Linked DNA regions of Cricetulus griseus. The protein of the gene in region 1 interacts with the protein of each later gene in a biochemical or structural test. Links are inferred from orthologs where the notes say so. Each region holds a gene or a part of one and is shown on either strand. Other genes may lie near its edges.

Region 1 (9,349 bases):
GTCTCAAAAGAAGAGGCAGAAGAAGCGGTGTACCGGGTCATGGGAGTCAAAAGCCTGGTAAAAGGGAGTGAAATGAGGTGGGTAACTTGAGAGACATTGTGAACAGAATGCAGGTGCCTGCTCCTCCCCTGTGGGGCCTTTTGCAGAGGAAGATGGAAGAAGGTCCTTTGAGGCTTTAGGCTCCAGCCCTACTTTAAACTTTGGAAGAGTCTTCCTATTAAACTGTTAAGTTGGAAGAGAAGGCAGGCATCCAAGCCAGATGTCTTGGTGGACACTGAAATATTTGTAGTTTTCTGTTCTGGGACTGCAGAGGGGTTTTGAGTAGTTTTGTTGTTTTGTTTGTATGTTTGTTTTTGGTTTTGGCTTTTTTTAGGGGGAGGTAGTGGTTGTGGTGGTGGTGATTAGAGTTCCTACTTGGCCTTCTGAGAAAATCTATTTTAGATTGTGAGTGAAGAGACCAACACTGAGAAGGTACAGTTGCAATGTAGTGTAGCAGTGAGAGAAACTTAGCAAATAGTTATTGACATTTTGCTTGATGGCATGAGATGAATTCCAGTAGCCTGTGGGCCCAGCCTTTCAGACCCTCTGCTGGGCACCCACAGTGCCTCTTGTTACTATGTTTCCTTAAGGAGACCTGACAACCAGGAGAAAGTAGAGTAGAAAGCAACTGCAGGTGTGATTCAGTGACTGTCGGCTTTTCTTGCAGGGCATGGTAGCAGTGTCCGGCAGCTTGTCAGTGCTCCTGGATTCCATTATCTGTGCTCTTGGCCCTTTGGCATGCCTGACCACACAACTACCTGAATTGAATGGCTGTCCCAAACAGGTCTTGGTGAGTTTTGTTTTCCTTAACTTTTTAGGGCTGTGGCCTTTGGGAGCCAGAAAGCCTCCTTAATGAGCACACTAAGCACTGCTCCTGGGGCTTGGTGGCACATGGCACTTCTATCACATATTGTCCCACAGAACATGACACTGTATTATCAACTGCATGCTGTGGTTTCAGTGAACTAGAAAAAATGCCATTTCCATGACTACTTTGGAGAAAAGCAGTGTAGTCTAGAACTTAAGGGTCTGTAACTCAGAGGCAGCAGAGGGACTTCTTCCTGCTGCTGGCTGTAATGTGAGGCATGAGCAGAGAAGCTCCTGGCCTAGCTGACAGGAGCATGCCTGTGTCTCTAGCCCACTTTCCCATCTCTCGCTTGAACATGACATTTCTCAGGGACCACAGTGAGGCATGCCACAGTTGAGCCCTTTCTCCTTGTTTGCAGTCAAACACGCTGGACAACATTGCTTACATCATGCCTGGACTGTGACCTCCAAGAAGCCTGGGACAGAAACCTGTCTACCCCTTCGCTAGTTTATGTATATATGACTGTTCCAGATCCTCCACTGATCTCTGGGTGTAGGTTTTTAATTTTTGTATCTATCTATACATATATATAATGTACAGTATATACATAGGATTATAACTACTTTGCTTTTAATAATTTTATGAAATGGCAAGGGTTTAGCTGAAAAGGAAACTTTGGCATGAATGTGGGTTTGGGATTATTTTTTTGTGTGAAAAAAAATCTGCCTTAAAAAATCAGTGTAATTTGGGGACTAGGGGCTTATTCTGGGTGCCATGTGTATCTCGTTATAGACAGCTAAAATGTGATTTTTTTTCCCCCAAGCTTGGTTGTACCTCCAGACCCATCACTGACCATTTGCCTTACCTGTCTTATAATTGGAAATATAGTAAAGATTATGGGAGGAGACCAGCTGACTACAAACTATTTGACTCAAAGTGACCTGAGGGGAGGTAGAGATGGCTTAGGCGGACTAATAGGGGACTCATTCCATTTCTACTAAACAGGTATCTGTGTCTCCAATTTTATTGTAACCATTGTTACCACAGAGTCATTGATACCACTGATAGCCTTAGTTATGTGATTCTTGGCAGCAGAGAAATAGCTTGGAGAGGCCAAAGCTGTTGGTGCCACCTTTGAGCCTACATTGGCTGGCCAAGAAGGCTTGGTCTATAAAAACCAAAGCTGGTATCTTTTGTTTTGTTGGTTGGCCACCAAATCCTGAGAGATTCTGCAGCTTCTTAGTTCAGCTCTGGTTCCCCTGATGGGCAGATTGTGCTCTGCATTCCTCACACATGTGGATCACAAAGGAACCCTCGGTTCTCAATGGGGTTATCTATGTGTGTATGTGAGCATATATTTTAATTATGTGTATTTAACTCTTTAGAATTTTTAGATTTTAATTTATCCTGTAAATTTCTGTATATATAATTTAATAACAAGCCTCCACCAGCAGTAGCATGTGGAGCATACAGACTTGTCATTTCTTCGTGTCTGTCTAAAAGCTCCAGGTCATCCATATGTTAAGGTGTTATGACTCAGAAAGGAGCTTCATGGCCCTCAATAATGTTAGCAAAGTGAAGTAGAAAGAAATGTCACAATTCCCAACTGCCCTTATTCCCAAAGACCTGCTTCCCCATTAAAAGATAGTTGAGCACTCCAGAGTTGTTTGGAAGCTTGGTGTGAGATTCCCTTCCCTGCCAAAACCATGCTGAGGTAACCATGCTTTCTCCCTCTGGCCTAAATGGGACAAGGCAGCATCACAGTAAGCTTTGGGGACCATGTAGTCAGCTGCCATCCTGTTTAATTCCTTCCCATATAGCCTCACTGTGTTTCATAGCTTAGCGCCTCACAGGCGTTCTGGACATCCAGTCTTTCTCAGTTCAGAGCAGTGTTGAGATGTATTCTGGGAAATGGAGAAAGAAACAGGAATATGTGGGAACTGAATCAAGAAGAACCAAAATTTAAATTTCAGCTAACAGGTCAGAATCTCATTTGAACCTGCAGAAGTTTCCTTTAAGAAACAGGGTGTGAAGGAGAGGCCAAGAAGGCACACATAGTGCAGGAAGCAGCCAGTCCTCTGTTGTCATTGCTACAGACAGCAGTGAACTCCTGGTGATAACCGGCTTTTTCGTGTTCATTTTCCTCTGAAACCTAGCCCTGTTGTATTTGTATTAAAGATTTGTACACATTTGTATAATAATCTGTAACTTGTGGTATTTGGTACTATTAGAAGAAAAACTTTGGATTCAGGCCTTCTTGCTGTTTTTATATCATTGTTTTATTTTGTTTTTTAAATAAATCCTAGTGGTTTGATCCAAATCTTACAGTTGTATAAAAAACAAAATTTTGTACTTATATTAAAGATCTCATTTTTAATATTTGTGGTAGCCTTAGCTGTCTTTTCCCTTGGGTTACTCATAGTTGCTATAAAATTATAAAACTGTTATTCACTCTGTTCTACTCTTAATTTTTCGATAAAAGAGGTCAGGAGCTGAAGAGATGGTTCAGTGGTTAAGAATACTGCCTGCTCTTGCAGAGGACCCAAGCTAAAGCCCAGCTCCAGAGGATCAGGCACCCTCTCGAGCCTCCTTAGGCATCAGCACACAAATACATACACACACACAGATACACACACATACACATAATTTATATTTAAAAAGTTTTAAGCCAAAACCTGGAATAAAGGTCAAGTTTTCATATTCTTACCCATCCTGGGTCTCAGGCTCCCAAGTATCATTTGCATATTGTAAAACTAGAGAACCTGATAAATTGTGGCTCTAATGCTTGGCCAGTGAAACCCTATACATTATGGTATTGGCTTAAATCAAGTATCCATCAGTATTTTGTCAGGGTTGCATGAAAATCCTGTGCTGAAAATATATAGTCCATGTCCCAGGAGCTTCCAGAGTCTTGTCTGAAGGGGAAAAAAAAAAAGACTCGCTGTCTCTGAGTCTATAGCCAGCTGGCCCAAAGTGAATGTTTGGTAATATTATGAACATTAAATATGTGGAAATTTGACCTTTCATGATTTAAAAAAAGTTAATAGAATACAACATGTTAAAAAGTATAAGTAGTGGGGGCTGGGGACCATTGGCTGTTCTTCCAGAGGTCTTGAGTTCAATTTTCAGCAACCACATGGTGACTCACAACCATCTGTCAAGATCTGGTGCCCTCTTCTGGCTTGCAGTCAGAACGCTGTATACATAATAAATAAATCTTTAAAAAAATTTAAGTAACAAAATAAAACTGGTGTTAAAGGCTGGGTTTTAATGATCACGACTGTAATTCCAACACTCAGGAGATCTGAATTTGAGACTAGCCTAGGGAGAGTATATATTAAAAAAAAAAAAAAAAAAGGCTGCAGAGTATGAGGAGTGAGATGGTTCACAGGTACTAGCTGCCATGTTTAGTCTGTGAGACCTACATAATGAGGATTGCTGCATGTTGTGATTTTTGACCTCTGTATTCACCATGACACACACACACTAAAGAGAATTAAAACATGTCTTATAAGGATAAGTCAAAGAAGAAATCACCGTCATTGAATGCCCATTACTGAACAATTTGCATGTCATCTTAATACTCTCAAAGCGTTATGGATAGTGTCCCCCTTTACCACTGAGGGAAACAGATGCAGAAAAAGCACTGTCCCCATTTGCCAAGTAGAACTGCCCTGGACATAGATGGAGTTCATTCGCTGCCTTAAGAGAGCACAAGTCCAGACCCTTGCCTCCTCTGGGCTACCCACAGGTGGCTCGTGGAGCAGGGAGACATCAAAAAGTCAAGGAGGCTGTTACTCTCAGGGCTACGTCCCCAGGACTAAAGGCTAAGACCCTGCTACCAGCCTGGGCTTGAGTTTGTGTAACTTGATCCAAGTCTTTCCCTGGCCAGAGACCCAGTTTCCGGATGTGAAGACTTCTAGGCCCCGCCGCAGAGTGAACTGAGGCCTTTCAGGGGCGTGGCCTGGAGGGCGGGGCCTCGGGGCTGTGCTCCAGAGCCGCCGCCCCGCGGGCCGGCCAGCGGGTCACGTGACGGGTCGGCGGCGCCGGCGGTTGCTGTCACCTGATTCTGGGAGCTGGTGGCAGCGGTAGCTGCGGCAATGGACTTTCTCCTGGGAAACCCGTTCAGCTCTCCGGTGGGACAACGCATCGGTGAGTCCCGGGAGCCGCGCGCAGCCGCGCCCCTGTCTAGCTCTGGCCGGGGACCTGTCGGAGTCCTTGGAGGAGGGAGGCAGACGGCGAGGCTGGCGCGGCGCTCTTGGCTCCGCCCCACCTGTGTTTCACCTGATTGACAAGATTGCGGACCAGTCAGAAGCCTCGTGTGGGGATTGATGCTGAGGGTGACCAATAGGCAGGGAGAGGAGGCGGATGTGGCTCAGCCAATGCGCGCGTGCTGGGGTCCGGAGTAGAAGGAGAAAGTTTAGGTTAAAGGGACTGCTGTGGTGAGCCGGTGTGGGGCCCCGCCGCCGCCAGGCTCGGGCAGGCCGAAGGTCCCTCCCGGGTTGGCCGCGCTCAGGTCATTCGCCGCGTCACCGGCCCCTCACATTCCGGGACTCCTGAGGTGTCTGGGCTCGGCCACGCCTCTGTCCCCGCTGTCGGGAGACTCGGGTTTGTGTGACGTCGCCTCGACCGTAGTTAAGGGACGGTGGCCCGGCCTTCCTGGGGTTGTTTGATCATTACATGCATTATTAAGCGCAAGGCACTGAGGATGCTGCCTGACACATGGCTAATGCTTGTCATTGTCACTGTGGTACCACCTTGTGGGGCTGGAGCCCGTGGGAAAGTGCCGGTTCCCAGTACCTACTCAGGTGGCGACATTTCTCCAGGGATGGGTGGTCTGGGTGTGACCCCTCTTCTTGTCTGAAGGGTCCCGACAGCATTGTGTAATTCTTTTTGGTGGCTTTTCTCCTTGGATCCAGACTGAACAGGCTGGATCTTTTAGTTAAGGCATTCTTTGCATTCTTCCTGCCAAGGCTTCCCCGAAGTCGTTAGCCCAGCTTTGTGTTGTAACCGCCACTGCTGTAAGTTTGGAGGTTCTCATCAGTTCTCTGCAGGGCATTGCTAGTGCCTGAAACCCAGGTGCTTCGCAAAAGCCCCATCTTTGAGTCCTCGTTTGTGACCTGGAAAGAGAAGACAACCCTCTTCACAAACTTCCTATGTAAAAACAAGCTAATTATTCCATTCTTCAAAGCCAACCACAAAGTCCTGAGACTTTCTGGATGTGCTTATTTAGGCTCAGTGTGCATATCAGTTGTTCAGAACTCAACACCTCTTCCTACCCTGAAAGGTTGCCTTCCTTGGGCAAGAAATACTTCTGGACAGACAGAATGGTGCTATATCAATACCTCAGTGCTAACTACATCTCACAACTGGACCCTCTGCCTTTTTTATGTCAGAATTGGCTGGACCCATCAGATTCAGACTGGCATCTGTGGAGTTCCCAGTAATGCTCTTTGCAATTGGCTAGGAGACCACAAATTTTACAGGTGTGAGCCACCAGAAGCGGTGGCTCACACCTGTAATCCTAGCACTTGGTAGACTAAGACAGGAGGATTGCCACCAAGTCTCAGGCTACCTGGACTACAAAATGAGTTTCAGGGCAGCATGGAGCTGCAGAATAAGACCCTGATTCAAAACAAAAAATACCAGTCTGCAAAGTCCTGTTACTGAAGGGAGGGGATTGAGTTCTACAAAGGGAAGGTGGTGAAGACTGAGACTCACCCAAAAACCCAGTGAATTGATAGCACAACTGAAATGAGCCTTCCAGGGCTACTAAAGAGGCTGTAAAAGAGCCCAGTGTGGTGGAGCATGCCTATAATTCCAGCCCTCAGGAGGCTGAAGTGGGACTATTTTCAGTTCAAGTCCAGCCTGGACTACATAGAGAGCCCTACCTTGAACAATATCAGTGTTCCATAGTCTTCCATGTATAGAGAGACAGAAGTACTGGAGATTGAAAGGGGTATGTATCTGTCTGTCTGAGATAGAGTCTCAGTTGTTGCCCAGGTTGGCCTGGAACTTATGGACCCAAGCAGTCCTCCCTGATCAGCTTCCAAGTATCAGAGACCTTGTCCCTATGCCAATGGGCCTGGCTGGCTGTGATGATCGATGGCCAGGTTTTAGGTGCTTGCATTCCTGTAATTCAGACCCTCCCCCCTCCCTTTGCTACAGGAGTAAAATGGTGTCTTCTCAGGTCTGGCTTCATGCCCTGAGAGTAGAATCTTGTATGATTGGCATACTAGAGAACAGCAATCACTAAATGGTGCTAATCAGGGCCCAGTGTCACTGTCCTCACAATTCATATACACCTGATGCTTGCTGGTCTCACTGCCTACAATGTCTGCTTCTGGGAGGAGCTGGGCTCATCCCTTAGAGCACTGGGCACCATCACCTCTTCCCTGCGGCCTTTCCTAACTCCAGCTCCAATTGCTGCTCTTTTGTTCTCTTGTCACTCTGCTTCCAGTAGGCACAAAACAGCTCTCACCTCAAGGGAAATCAGAGATAGTTTATCCCTGAGCCAAATATGAATTGCTGTGACCCAGGAACACAGATTCCTATCACCCCAAATAACATGATCCAGTATGGGAAATGGTTTCATGATGTTTTCGTAGCTACAGAAAACAAAAGTAAGCCAGAAATCAGGCAATTGGGATACAGCAAAGCACGAATATCTATGCTGCACTTCTCAGGTGCTAGCTGATGGCATTCCTAGCCCTTGGGTTGGTGGACACTAGTTTTCTATTAACTTATTCCAAAAGTGTTGCCTGATAGTCACAGACTTGTTAGATCACAACTCGGAGATGAGCAATACATGCTTAATAAAGGGTCTAAAGCAAGGTCATTTGTCTCAAGATCTGCAACATTTCCACTCTCCACAATCACAAAGTTGTTGTCAGTCAGCCTTCTAACATCTTCAACACAGAAGTAGCTTTTCTGAGAACTTCAGTTTGTATGCTTCGACTCTTCTGCTTGAGAGTGGTTGTAAAAAATGCCAATTCCCCGGAGAGTGCCTGCACAGCGAGAGGGTGTAGGGAATAGGGAACACCAGCGCCTGCTATCTCACCATCATTTACTGTTTCCACCTCCGTCACACAGATGTGCCACCATCCCTGCAAGTCTGCCCTCAGGCTAGGCTTGACTTGAGATCAGGAGCTATCCCTTCCTTTCCTGGTGCCTTAGCACCTAGCAGATTGTGAAAAAAGAAAAAAAGAAGGATGTAGCTGCTCCTAGGTGTGGTGGAGGAGAAAGTTTTTTATAGACTAAAGGGAGAACATAGTGAGTGAGCCATACCATGTGAGGAAATGGGGAGGGAAGAGGACACACACACACACACACACACACACACACACACACACACACACACACACACACATACACACACACACCAGAGGGTAGAGCTGTCCTTGGATTCCCAAAGCCTACCCATAGGCCCATGGACAGAAATCAGAAATGAATGGCCAGCATCAGGGCTCTGAGGTTCCTTTGGGGAAGATAGGCTAGAAACACACAGGCTAGGCCATGTTGTAGATGTTGGGCAGTCACTGTCTACTGCTGACTATCTTCTATCCCCATCTGTAATGAAACACAGAGGTGCCCCACTTCCTCCCTTCCCCAAAGACAGTTGAACAGCAGCTGAAACGTAATTGAAATGGGGAACAGTTCGTACTACAAGGCACAGAGGGGCAGTGTGGTGTTACAAAGTCAGTGCTGGGCTAAGCAGCCAACTCTGGACCTGTCAGAGGTGTGCCAGTTACCTTGTTCATAATGAGATCCCCTGCTACCTCTTGATGAAAGGTAAAGGTCAAAGGAGAAGTTGCCTTGGAGGACTCTTGCATTGGCTGTTAGGGTGGACTAGAGCAGGCTTACTCTGCAAAGGGCCACAAAGTCAGTCCTCAAGGCTTAGGAAGGCCATATGGTCTCTGTTAAATACTTCAACAAGGCCATTATTGCATAAGAGCAGCCAGAGACAATAGGTAAATACATGGGTGTGGCCATGCTCCAATAAAACTGTGGGCTGTAGAATTTGAGTTTATGTCATTTCCATGTGCCATTAAGTATTATTGTTGTCGGTGTGGTGTTGCATGCCTTTCATGCCGCACTCAGGAGGCAGAGGCAGACAAATCTCTGTGCGGTCCAGGCCAGCCTGTTCCATGGAGTGAGACTTAGTCTACATAGGGCTATGCCCTGGCTGGACAAATACTAGTAAAAGGCCAAGGTGACCTTGAATCAAAATACTAGCTCTGTGTCCTGGAGTAGGTTATTAACCTCACTATCTTCTGGTCCTTCATCTGTATAAGGAGGCTAATAATAGCACCTGTCAGGTGGGATTGCTGTGTCATGTGTGGCATTTGAAGCACTTGGACTGGTGCCTGCCAGGCAAGAGGAGTCCACAGCTGGGGACTCTCATTGGTGGTATCACTGTTCTGGGCATACTTGGTGACGGAGCTAAGGTAACAATGCAGGGCCCAGACTCCAGGGCGGCTTTTGTGTTAGTCCTTGTGTCCC
Region 2 (9,454 bases), about 92 Mb from region 1:
AGAACACGAGACACAATTCACAACAGGCTCTTTCCCTACTTACTGTGGATGATTAGGGAGGTGTTTCACAGCTCTTCCCTGGGAAAACCTGGTAAACTGCTTGATGGTGAGTCTCACAAAGCATGTAGCTTCATACCAGGTCCTCTTGGGAGCCTGAACCTCTTTTACTTCATCAATTAGGTGCCAGGTTCTCCTGTGGTTTCTGCTTTGCTGAGTTACAATTTTTGGGTTTTTTTTTTCTGTCTGTCTTTCTAGTTTATCTGCAGGGGGCATTTGCCCCATGCCCTCACTTCTCTGACAGATCCTTGGATAAGCTGATTTTTCTAGGTGTCTTATCAGCATATTACTTGTGTTGCTAGGACGGAGTGTCCCCATTAATTATTTTTTTTGAGCATGCCATCTGTTCCCTGCTGGGATCCCAACTAACACAGTAATTGGTAGCAGAAGTGGTCCCAGGAAACAGACTCTTGGAGTGGGATTCTAGTACAGAGTGATAAGCACATGGATATACTCCTTGCTGGGGGGAGTGAAACATTGGGAGGTGGCATCACATGGGGACAAACTATATGGGATTCTGCTTAGGCAAAAGACTAATAGATGGCATAGACACAGGCTAAACCACTTAGTTGATCTGACAAAAAATATCTAATTCAGGGTATGGGATACTCATTTCTGACTTTTTTGGAATCTGTACACACAGGACTAGGAAGCTCCAGCCTTGGGTATGGCCAAAGCCCTCTGGCTACTTCCAAGAGCACACCTGCAGCTGAGCAAAGTAAGGTCATGGCTTACTTGTGTGCAGGAGAACACTTGTCATGGAAACTGAAAAGAGGCTTTAAGAGGGCAGTTAGTGGGCTAATCAGATGTCTCAGCTGGTAAAGGTGCCTGCTGCCAAGCCTAACCTAACCTGAGTTTGATCGCTAAGACCATTGTAGTAGAAGGAGGGAACAAACTCCCACAAATTGTCTTCTGACACATGCACACATGCAGAGTGGCAAGCATATACTCGCAAACAGACAGACACTATTGTAAGACAGATTTCCCCTTGGGAGACACACACACACACACACACACACACACACACACACACACACACACACACACACACCTGCTTATACCTGTAAAAGAAACCATAACAGACCAAAGTGAAATTTGAACCAAAGTTCAATTTGGTGAACTGATGAGTTTTTATTGAGGTTTCTTTCAGCAATAAGGGTGATGAATTACTTACAAGGATCAAAGATGACTCAAAAGCCATTGTATCACTGAAAACCTCACCCCAACACAAAGGCTGCAATCCTGGAGCTCTCTAAATAACTTTCAGGTGGCTCAACAAGAGTCCTCTTATCTCTGCATTGCAGCTCAGCTGGCTAGGACCTCCTCTTCCAGAAGTAACTTACTCCTTCCCCTCCCCCTCTATGGACCCAGTGCATGTGCAGACACAAAATAAATAAAATATGACAAATAACAAAGATATGAAAAACTCTTTTATGCCAAAAGTAGTTATCCTAGTAAAAGTTCATTATTCCCCAAACTTCCCCTTTCCTCTCTGCATCTATTAGTCCATGGCATCAGAATGTGAAGTTGAGCTCCCCCAATGGAATAATCCCTATGTCAGGGATAAAAGACAGAAGGTTAAGTGTGCTCAATATCCGTGTTAGGGGTCTGGCACACTCTTTTTTGAAAAAAGAAATCACCTTGACAAATTCTTTCACTTTGTTTATGGGTTCCTTTGTGCAACATAAAGATTATTCTTTTCCCAATAAAGACAGTATCAGCACTTATGGGAGAGGGTTTGCAAAGTGGGATTTTCCTCTGGGTTGGATGCTATTAGGAATCAGAAGTAAGTCTAAATTAGACTTCTAGAAATTCTCATGTAAAAATAAGAATGAGGCAGACAGTGTTAGCACACGCCTTTAATCCCAGCACTCAGGAGGATCTCTGAGTTCAAGGCCAGCCTTGTCTATAGAATGAGTTTTAGGACAGTCAGAGCTACATAGAGAAACCCTGTCTTGAAAAAAAAAGAAACTATGATACTGAGGCTGGTCTGACTCCATGACTGTCAACACTAGTTGGGATGAAAGACCTGCTTATTTGGCTTGACGTGTGTCCTAGATTACTTTCTATTGCTGTGATAAACACTATGACAAAAGCAACCAAAGAAGGAAAGGATTTGTTTGGTTTATATGTCCCAATCATATTCCAATATTGAGGGAAGTCAAGTTAGGTACTGAAGCAGGGCAGGGACCTGAAGGCAGGAACTGAAGCAAAGGCCATGGAGGAACATTGCTTACCGGCTTGTTTTCCATGGATTGCTAAGTTTTCTTTCTTATCTAACCTAGGACTTATCCACAGTGGGCTGACCCATCCCATACACTATCAGTCATTAATCAAGAAAATGTTCCTCAGATTGGCCTGATGGAAGTATTTTCTCAGTTGAGGGGCTCCTCTTCCCATTATGACTTTAGCTTCTGTCAAGTTGACAAAAAATAGAAATAAAAAAGCACAGACAATATTGAGACCGATTATTCTCATGTTATTACCTCATGGTCAGAGTGGCCTTGCTCAGCTAACTTGCTCATGTTCAGCAGAATACCACATTGGGGACAGCAGGCTATGTGCCCTAAGCAACCCTATATTGTGTGGAACATTGGCTTTCAGGCTGTTCCCCAAGTGACTCCATTTACAATCAGCATTTGGCTCCATTTTGAGTGCAAATGGACAAGTGAATGCTTTACTTTTTGAGCACAGACAGCTGTATTGCTCCACCATCATGGACCCTAACCCTCTGAAACCATAAATCCAAAATTAATTCTCCCTTAAGTTGCCCTTGACTTATCATATCAGTAGAAAAGCACCACAAATCTAAGTCAAGAGTGAAGGCAGCAAGGGTGATAAATACAAGATGATGAAGACAGAGGTGTCTTTCATCTGTCTTCTGCTACTCATAACATCTCTCCACTGAGTGGAGAGTCAGTATTCACAACAGGTAGCTTTCAAGTTTCTGCAAAGTAACCTAGTCAAATTCTATCACAGCCCACATACACCAGAACTTCTGCTATCTACAGCAAATCTAGTAGAAACAAGGTTATGTACCATGTGACCACCACCAGAGAGCAAATGCTGTGATTCTGCTTTGACAGACTATGCCACTTGAACAGACTTTGGGGACTTACTGGGGAATTTTATGTGATAAAGTTTTTCCTCAGTAACAATTCTCCCTGGTTTTGTTGCTTGTTTTGTTTGTTTGTTTACCTCTTTAATATTGAGGGATTTGGGAATCCATTAAAGGGCATATGTGTGAACATCTCAAACCCAATCATTTTTAGCAGGTCTTAGTCACAAGAAGTTCCTAGTCTGCTGTCCAGATACAATCTTACACAACTTGCAGGATGCCCGGTGCATTTTTAGACACAATTCAGAGGTTTTGTCTATAACCAAGGGGAAAGGATTGTATAGGGATGTGAACCCCAGGAAGGGATCATGGGTCTCTTATAAATTGTCTGCCATATTGGGTGTCGAGTCTTATGTCCTGGTCTGCCTTAGCTTCATCAGCTGCAGACCAGTGAGAACTGGATAGACAGCTGCATCCAGGGACAGAGCCCAGATGCAGTCCCATGTGCTATCAAGGCAGAGACTGGTAATGGAGGTAGAAGATGAGGTCTTAGAGATGAAGGGAACACAATAGAACACAGTGTGAGTGAAGAAATGTACTAGGAGTACATTTGGTGCTGGGCAGTACCAAGTCTACTGCAGCACAAGCGAAAGAGATCTGCAGATCTGGGGCCACCACAGGATAAACTTAAAGGAACTACATTGAGTCTATCTGGCCAAAGGTCCTTCTGAAGAGAGCGCTCTGAAGAGGCAAGAGTGGGTGGCCTGGGTTTCCTAGGGACATCTCTTCCATTCATTTGGCAAATTCAAGGCTGGTGGAAGTGTTCCAGCCCACTCTTGCCTCTCCTTCAGCTTGGCTTCTTTTTTTAACATTTAAATATAAATGTTCTTCCTCCCACAGCATTTTGAAGTAATTCAAGGGCTTGAGGGTAACTGGTTTTACTGCCATCTGCTTTCTCCTCAAGCTGCCAAACATCAGTTTTCTCCTTTCTTCAAGCGGATCAGGCACCTTGCAGGTGGTGGTCTCCTAGCTATCTCCAGCCAGGTGACTGGACGTTGTGACGACTTGACGGAGTTGAGATAAACATCCATGTTTCGGGTGCCTGGTCCTGGGTCAACAGACTGGCTCACGCCGAGAAACACTCAGGTTTAGGCATGCGCAGACAGCCTGGCAGCCATTTTAAGGGCTTACCGTACTACAGGAGTGACCACCGCGCAGGCGTACACGGGAGACTTAACCCGCCCTCACCCCAGCCCTTTGCACGCATGCGCGGATTAGCCGGAAGGGGCGGGATTAGCCATTGCGAAGCGGCTGCGCCTTGGGAATGCCGGGGTGGGGCGGGGCGGGGTGACTGTCAGCTGACTGAGGCGCAGATTGCCTCGCGGGACAACGGTCGGCGACGCAGGTTGAGGTGGGGGCGGAAGAACTCTCCCGGCGGGTCTCTGTGCGGTCGGTGAGGCACAGGGTCGCCGTAACATCATGGCGACCACCGTCAGCACGCAGCGCGGGCCGGTGAGTCCACTGGGCGAGGGCCGGACTGGGGCAACGCAGCCTGAGATCGGGCTCCTCTTGTCAGCCCCTCGTGGGGCCCCTCGCGAGTTGCTCGGCCGTCCCGGAGCTGTGCGGGTCCCACCTTCGGGTACCCAAACGGAGTAGCGACTCTGGTCCTGAGGGTCTCGCGGGTGGAAGAAGGCAGAGCTTGATGGTTCTTTGGATGCCCACGGGCCCTGAAACCCCTGAATCCCTAGAGGGGCCCTGAATCCCTTAGTCCTCCACACAGAGGAACGTGACCCCATTGGTTCCCCATACTGAGAGGGACCCCGACTCCCCTTAGTTCCCCGGGTGGAAAAAGGGTCCCGAACCCCTTACTTCCCCAGATGTATACCAACCCCTTGGTCTCTCAGATGGACATGGGCCCTGACGCTTGGTTCCCCAAATGGAGAGTGGTCCTGACCCTGTTAATTTCCCAAACTGATAGTCTTGGCTCCCATGATCTCTCAGAGGAGTGGGGCCTGACACTCCTCTGATGTTTCAGAGATGGTGAAAGATCCCACTTTGTAATCAGCTCTTAGTTGTGTCAGTTTCTTCCTCTCCCTGCTCCTATAGAGAACAGGGTTGCTACCTCTTGAGCCCGGTTAGTGGCTACCTTTCCAAGTCTCAGTTGTTCATCTATAAATGAGGAGAAGGGAGCAGAAAACGTGGAAAACCAACAGTGATGGCTCCTAAGGGTTGTCTTGGGGTCCACAACACTACCTGTCTCTCCTACCTCTAGTGTGGATGTCCTCCCAGTAGTTCTCTGAGACTGATATGAGTTGGATGTTGTTAGCTAACAGTGGTTATGTGTGTAGAACACAGTTCTGATGGCTCCATTGTCTTTTCCCTGAAGTTATTGAAAGTGTCTGCAAAGCCTTTGGTTTCCCAGGTCCCTCACCCTGACAGCTTGGTGTTGACAGGTGTGTGTGTGTGTGTGTGTGTGTGTGTGTGTGTGTGTGTGTGTGTGTAACAGATAAATCATTGGGGTAGATGACTGATTTTCTGACTTTGAAGAAAGCCCCAGGCAGGGTGCTTTTTTGGAGGGCTTTAAAGCCAGACTTCCTGACCAGAGTTGGGGTTACCTTCATGTTCAGCAACCCTTCTTCATCCTCACTGTGTCTCACCAAACTACAGAAGATTGCTAGTGGCTGACAGAAGAGGAAGGGAGCCAGTACTTTGCTCTTTTCCTATCTCCTGCCAAGTGGACACAGGGCCAGGCAGAGTGGACCGTTCCTTACTGTGTGTCTGAGAGTGCCTTTACTTCTGTGGCTGGACTGCATTTGAATTCATCTGATGGTGAGCTTAATGTCCGTCATTAATTGAGTAAGAAGGTGTCCTCCCGTGTTGCTGAGGGAAACTCTGGTGCTGTGTGTATAGAGCTGGGGTAACCCACGCTGTGATGAGTAATTGGGAGTGTCGGGTGACATTCATACTAGCGCAATCTGTGGAGTCAAGTCCTGACGCTTGATCTTTCTACTTGCCCAGTGTTCTAGGGACCACAGAGTCTTATAAATAAACATAGACAGCTGAATGGTTTTTTAGGAGCACTCTTGATGACTTGTAATATTGTGTCTGGACTCTAAGAAATTGTCATCAGTGACAGATATCTTAGACTTTGCTTGGGATGTATTATTGGCCACAGTATTTAGAGCAATTGGACACTGAGTCAAAAGTGTGGAGCACAGGGACACAGCTATGCATGGTGACCCATATAAAGCCAGAAAATAACAGTCACCATCAGGTCTGTGCTCTTAATCATTGAAAACAGAAAGGTATGGACTTGGTGTGGGAGGAGTGAATGGGTTATGGCCAGGGTCTCTTAAAGACTAGAAGATCTTGAACTTGATCTGGTAAGTGCTGTTTCTTAGAGTGCATGCCTTTTACAGTTTTCAGCTTTTCACTGGCTGCTTCACCTAGAATGATCTACCTATATGCCTCTGGATTCATTAATATTTGCAAAGGTTTTTTTAGCCAGTTGTCAGGGTCTAGTAGAACTGTCAAGAGTGTGGTAGTTCTTCCCTACTATTCATGTCATACTCAGGGTTGTGGAGCTGTAAAGATAAACAGAAGTACACATTTGGTCAGTACTGGGTACTATTGGCAGCCTTCTTTTTGTAACCGCAGCAGGGGGTTAGGCTATGGTTCAGAGTCCCCTTCCCAGGAGCCTGGACTAGGCTTGGGCAGTTGTCTCTATAGCTGACCTTCACCTCTGATGAGTGGGGAAGGACTGACAGTGTCTTGGGAGGCTATAGAAGGCTGAGGACACTCTCATCTGGGCTAGGAGGGTTCTCTATTCTTGGTTGAGGGTTTGGGATGGGGCAAGTATGAGGAGGAGAGCCAGAACCCACATAATTGTGAAGGAATAAGTTTTTCCCTGGGACATTTGGTATTTTACGTTTTTTTTTTGTGTTTTGTTTTTTTTGTTTTGTTTTGTTTTGTTTTGTTTAATAGCCACTATAGGGCACTACAATCTTTCATAGCCATCTCACTTTTGAAAATACTGGTATTTTGAAATTACCCCTTTTGCTACCCAGTCTGCACACCTGCTCCTTTCCTACAGTAGTGGTTTTTTTTTTTTTTTTTTTTTTGCGGGGGGTGGGGTGGGGGGGTGGGGGGGTCCGAGACAGGGTTTCTCTGTAGCTTTAGAGCATGTCCTGGAACTCGATCTGTAGACCAAGCTGGCCTGGAACTCACAGAGATCTGCCTGCCCCTTCCTCCCGAGAGCTGGGATTAAAGGTGTGCACTACCAACACCCGGCCAGTGACTTTAAGGACCCTACTTCTTGTGGGGATGCATGCAGAAGGTCTTGCTGGCTGTAGGCTGCAGCAGATGTAGGGGTGGCATTTTGAAGGTCCTCCTTTATAGATGTGTTCTGTGGAGTCCAACAGGTGCTAACTTGTTCTTCTTGAGATGCTGGCTAACCAGAACTTTGCCAAAAGCTACTGGCTCTGGCTCTTCCCCTCCTCATTCTGTGGGTGGGCCTTAGTGTCCATGCTTGTCTGGAACCTCATCAGTACTGTTCTTCCCTGGTAATTGTGGTTGAGCCATTAAATTGATTAGAGATGACAAAAGATGATTTTTAAAAATTTTAACATTATTTTATGTTTAAGAATATTTTGTCTGTGTATATGTAAATATACCTTGTGCATTCTTGGTGCCCATGGAGGTCACCATCTGGTGACCATAGCCTAATGCAGGAATGTTAGACTTGTACCCAGGCATAGCCTTACCTTAGAATCCAGAGCAGGCATTCCCAGGGACCCAGGGACACAGGCCTAGTGGCCAGCTGTGGGCACAACCTCTTGCACAGGTTCTGCTCTGTGAGGTTGCATGGACACGGAGGCTGCTGACTCACACAGTTGGGTTGAAAACTATCAATATGCAGTAACACTCAGAAAGAAAGCCAATACATACCCTAAAGAAGTGAACTCTTTCCTCTTATTACTAGAAAGAAAGAAGCCTGTATCTTGCCTTACTTTAGAAACTGTTTAGGGACAACCCAGGTACCTCTGGCTGATGGGAAAAGCTTATCTTTAACAACAGACCCAATTACCAAGTGCAGAACATAGGATCAAATTAAAAAATCACCCTCTTGGGGCTGGAGATATGTTTTAATGGTTAAGCATAGTGGCTGCTCTTCCAAAGGACCCGGGTTTAATTCCCAGCACCCACATGGATTCTGAGGTGAGGCTATGCCTGGGTACAAGTCTAGCATTCCTGCATCGGGCTGTTGCCACCAGATGGTGACCTCCACTGGCCTCTTGCCTTTTACTTTGTATGATAGTACTTTTCCTTTTAGAAAGTATTTGACAGTTTTTTTCTTTCTTTCATTTATTTTTTGACTTTACATTTTATTAAATAGTTATGTTTTAGAGGGATCTACCCACAGCAGCATACAGCTGTATCCTTAAAAGTCAAAACTAAGAAGTACAAGTTTGTAGTGGAATCTGTTAGATAGATTTATTTTATATAGGACAAATGTATACATATATTTTTTTAACACTTTTAGGTGTTTATTTGTCCTACATGTTTCTATTATTGCTTTGATTCGCTAAGCATAGATTTTTTAAAAATTCAGTTCAGTAGTAAATTTTTCACAAGTTTGGTAAAGATATGGTGTGTTTCTTTTTTCTAGGGAGTTACCCCAGGAATTTCTACACACAGTATTGCAGACCTGAAGTTGGTTGCATCTCCGTTTCTTCCAGTCTATGCAAAGACCATAGCTGGTGGTGGGCAGGTGGCCACCTGGTGGTGTTGTGCATATGTGATGACTCTACTTTCCTATGTAGTCAATGCTTGTTCAGATCTGAGATGTGTCATTTCTTCCCAATCCTTTTTGTGTCTGTTGTCACGATCCCTTTACCTTTCTTTCAAGTAAGAATCTTTTAGATTCCTTCACTGTAGCTCCTGGAGGTCCTATGAAGAGTTGCAGTGGGCAGTAGCTTTTCAGGCCACTGTAAGTCTGCCCTGCTGTCATTCCAGTCACTATTTTACTTCCCTTCCATTCTTTGGAGTTTCAGTGTAAATCACTGAATTCCTTTAAGTGCAGTTTCGGTTCTGACTGAGAGCCAGTTACTGTTTATAGAACTATTGTCAGGGCTTGTGAGGATGTGCCAAGTTTATGCATGGAGAGTACACCAGACCCCAGCCTTTGGGAAATACCATGATCTAGTGAACTACTAAGTCCTTATGAGTTATTTTTCATTTCTTAGAAAACATGATTATTTCTGTGATCAAATCCTTTTCAGATACCATTTCTGCTTTGACACCAGAGAGACAGGAGCTGGGTACAGGTGGGTTGTGCAG

What was found.
Region 2: the proteins of Tom1 (region 1) and Tollip form a complex in vitro, tested with the Homo sapiens proteins (3 studies listed by BioGRID and IntAct, with this or other methods). The link is inferred for Cricetulus griseus from reciprocal best matches to the Homo sapiens genes TOM1 and TOLLIP.

Annotation. Positions count from the first base shown.
Region 1 is NC_048596.1:150,803,423-150,812,771, forward strand, and holds the start of Tom1 (target of Myb protein 1), read left to right. Parts: upstream 1-4,841; 5' UTR 4,842-4,947; coding exon 4,948-4,999; intron 5,000-9,349. Other genes in the region: Hmgxb4 (HMG domain-containing protein 4), read left to right, coding at 707-829, 1,266-1,310.
Region 2 is NC_048596.1:59,280,316-59,289,769, forward strand, and holds the start of Tollip (toll-interacting protein), read left to right. Parts: upstream 1-4,467; 5' UTR 4,468-4,594; coding exon 4,595-4,627; intron 4,628-9,454. UniProt on the Homo sapiens protein: Component of the signaling pathway of IL-1 and Toll-like receptors. Inhibits cell activation by microbial products. Recruits IRAK1 to the IL-1 receptor complex. Inhibits IRAK1 phosphorylation and kinase activity.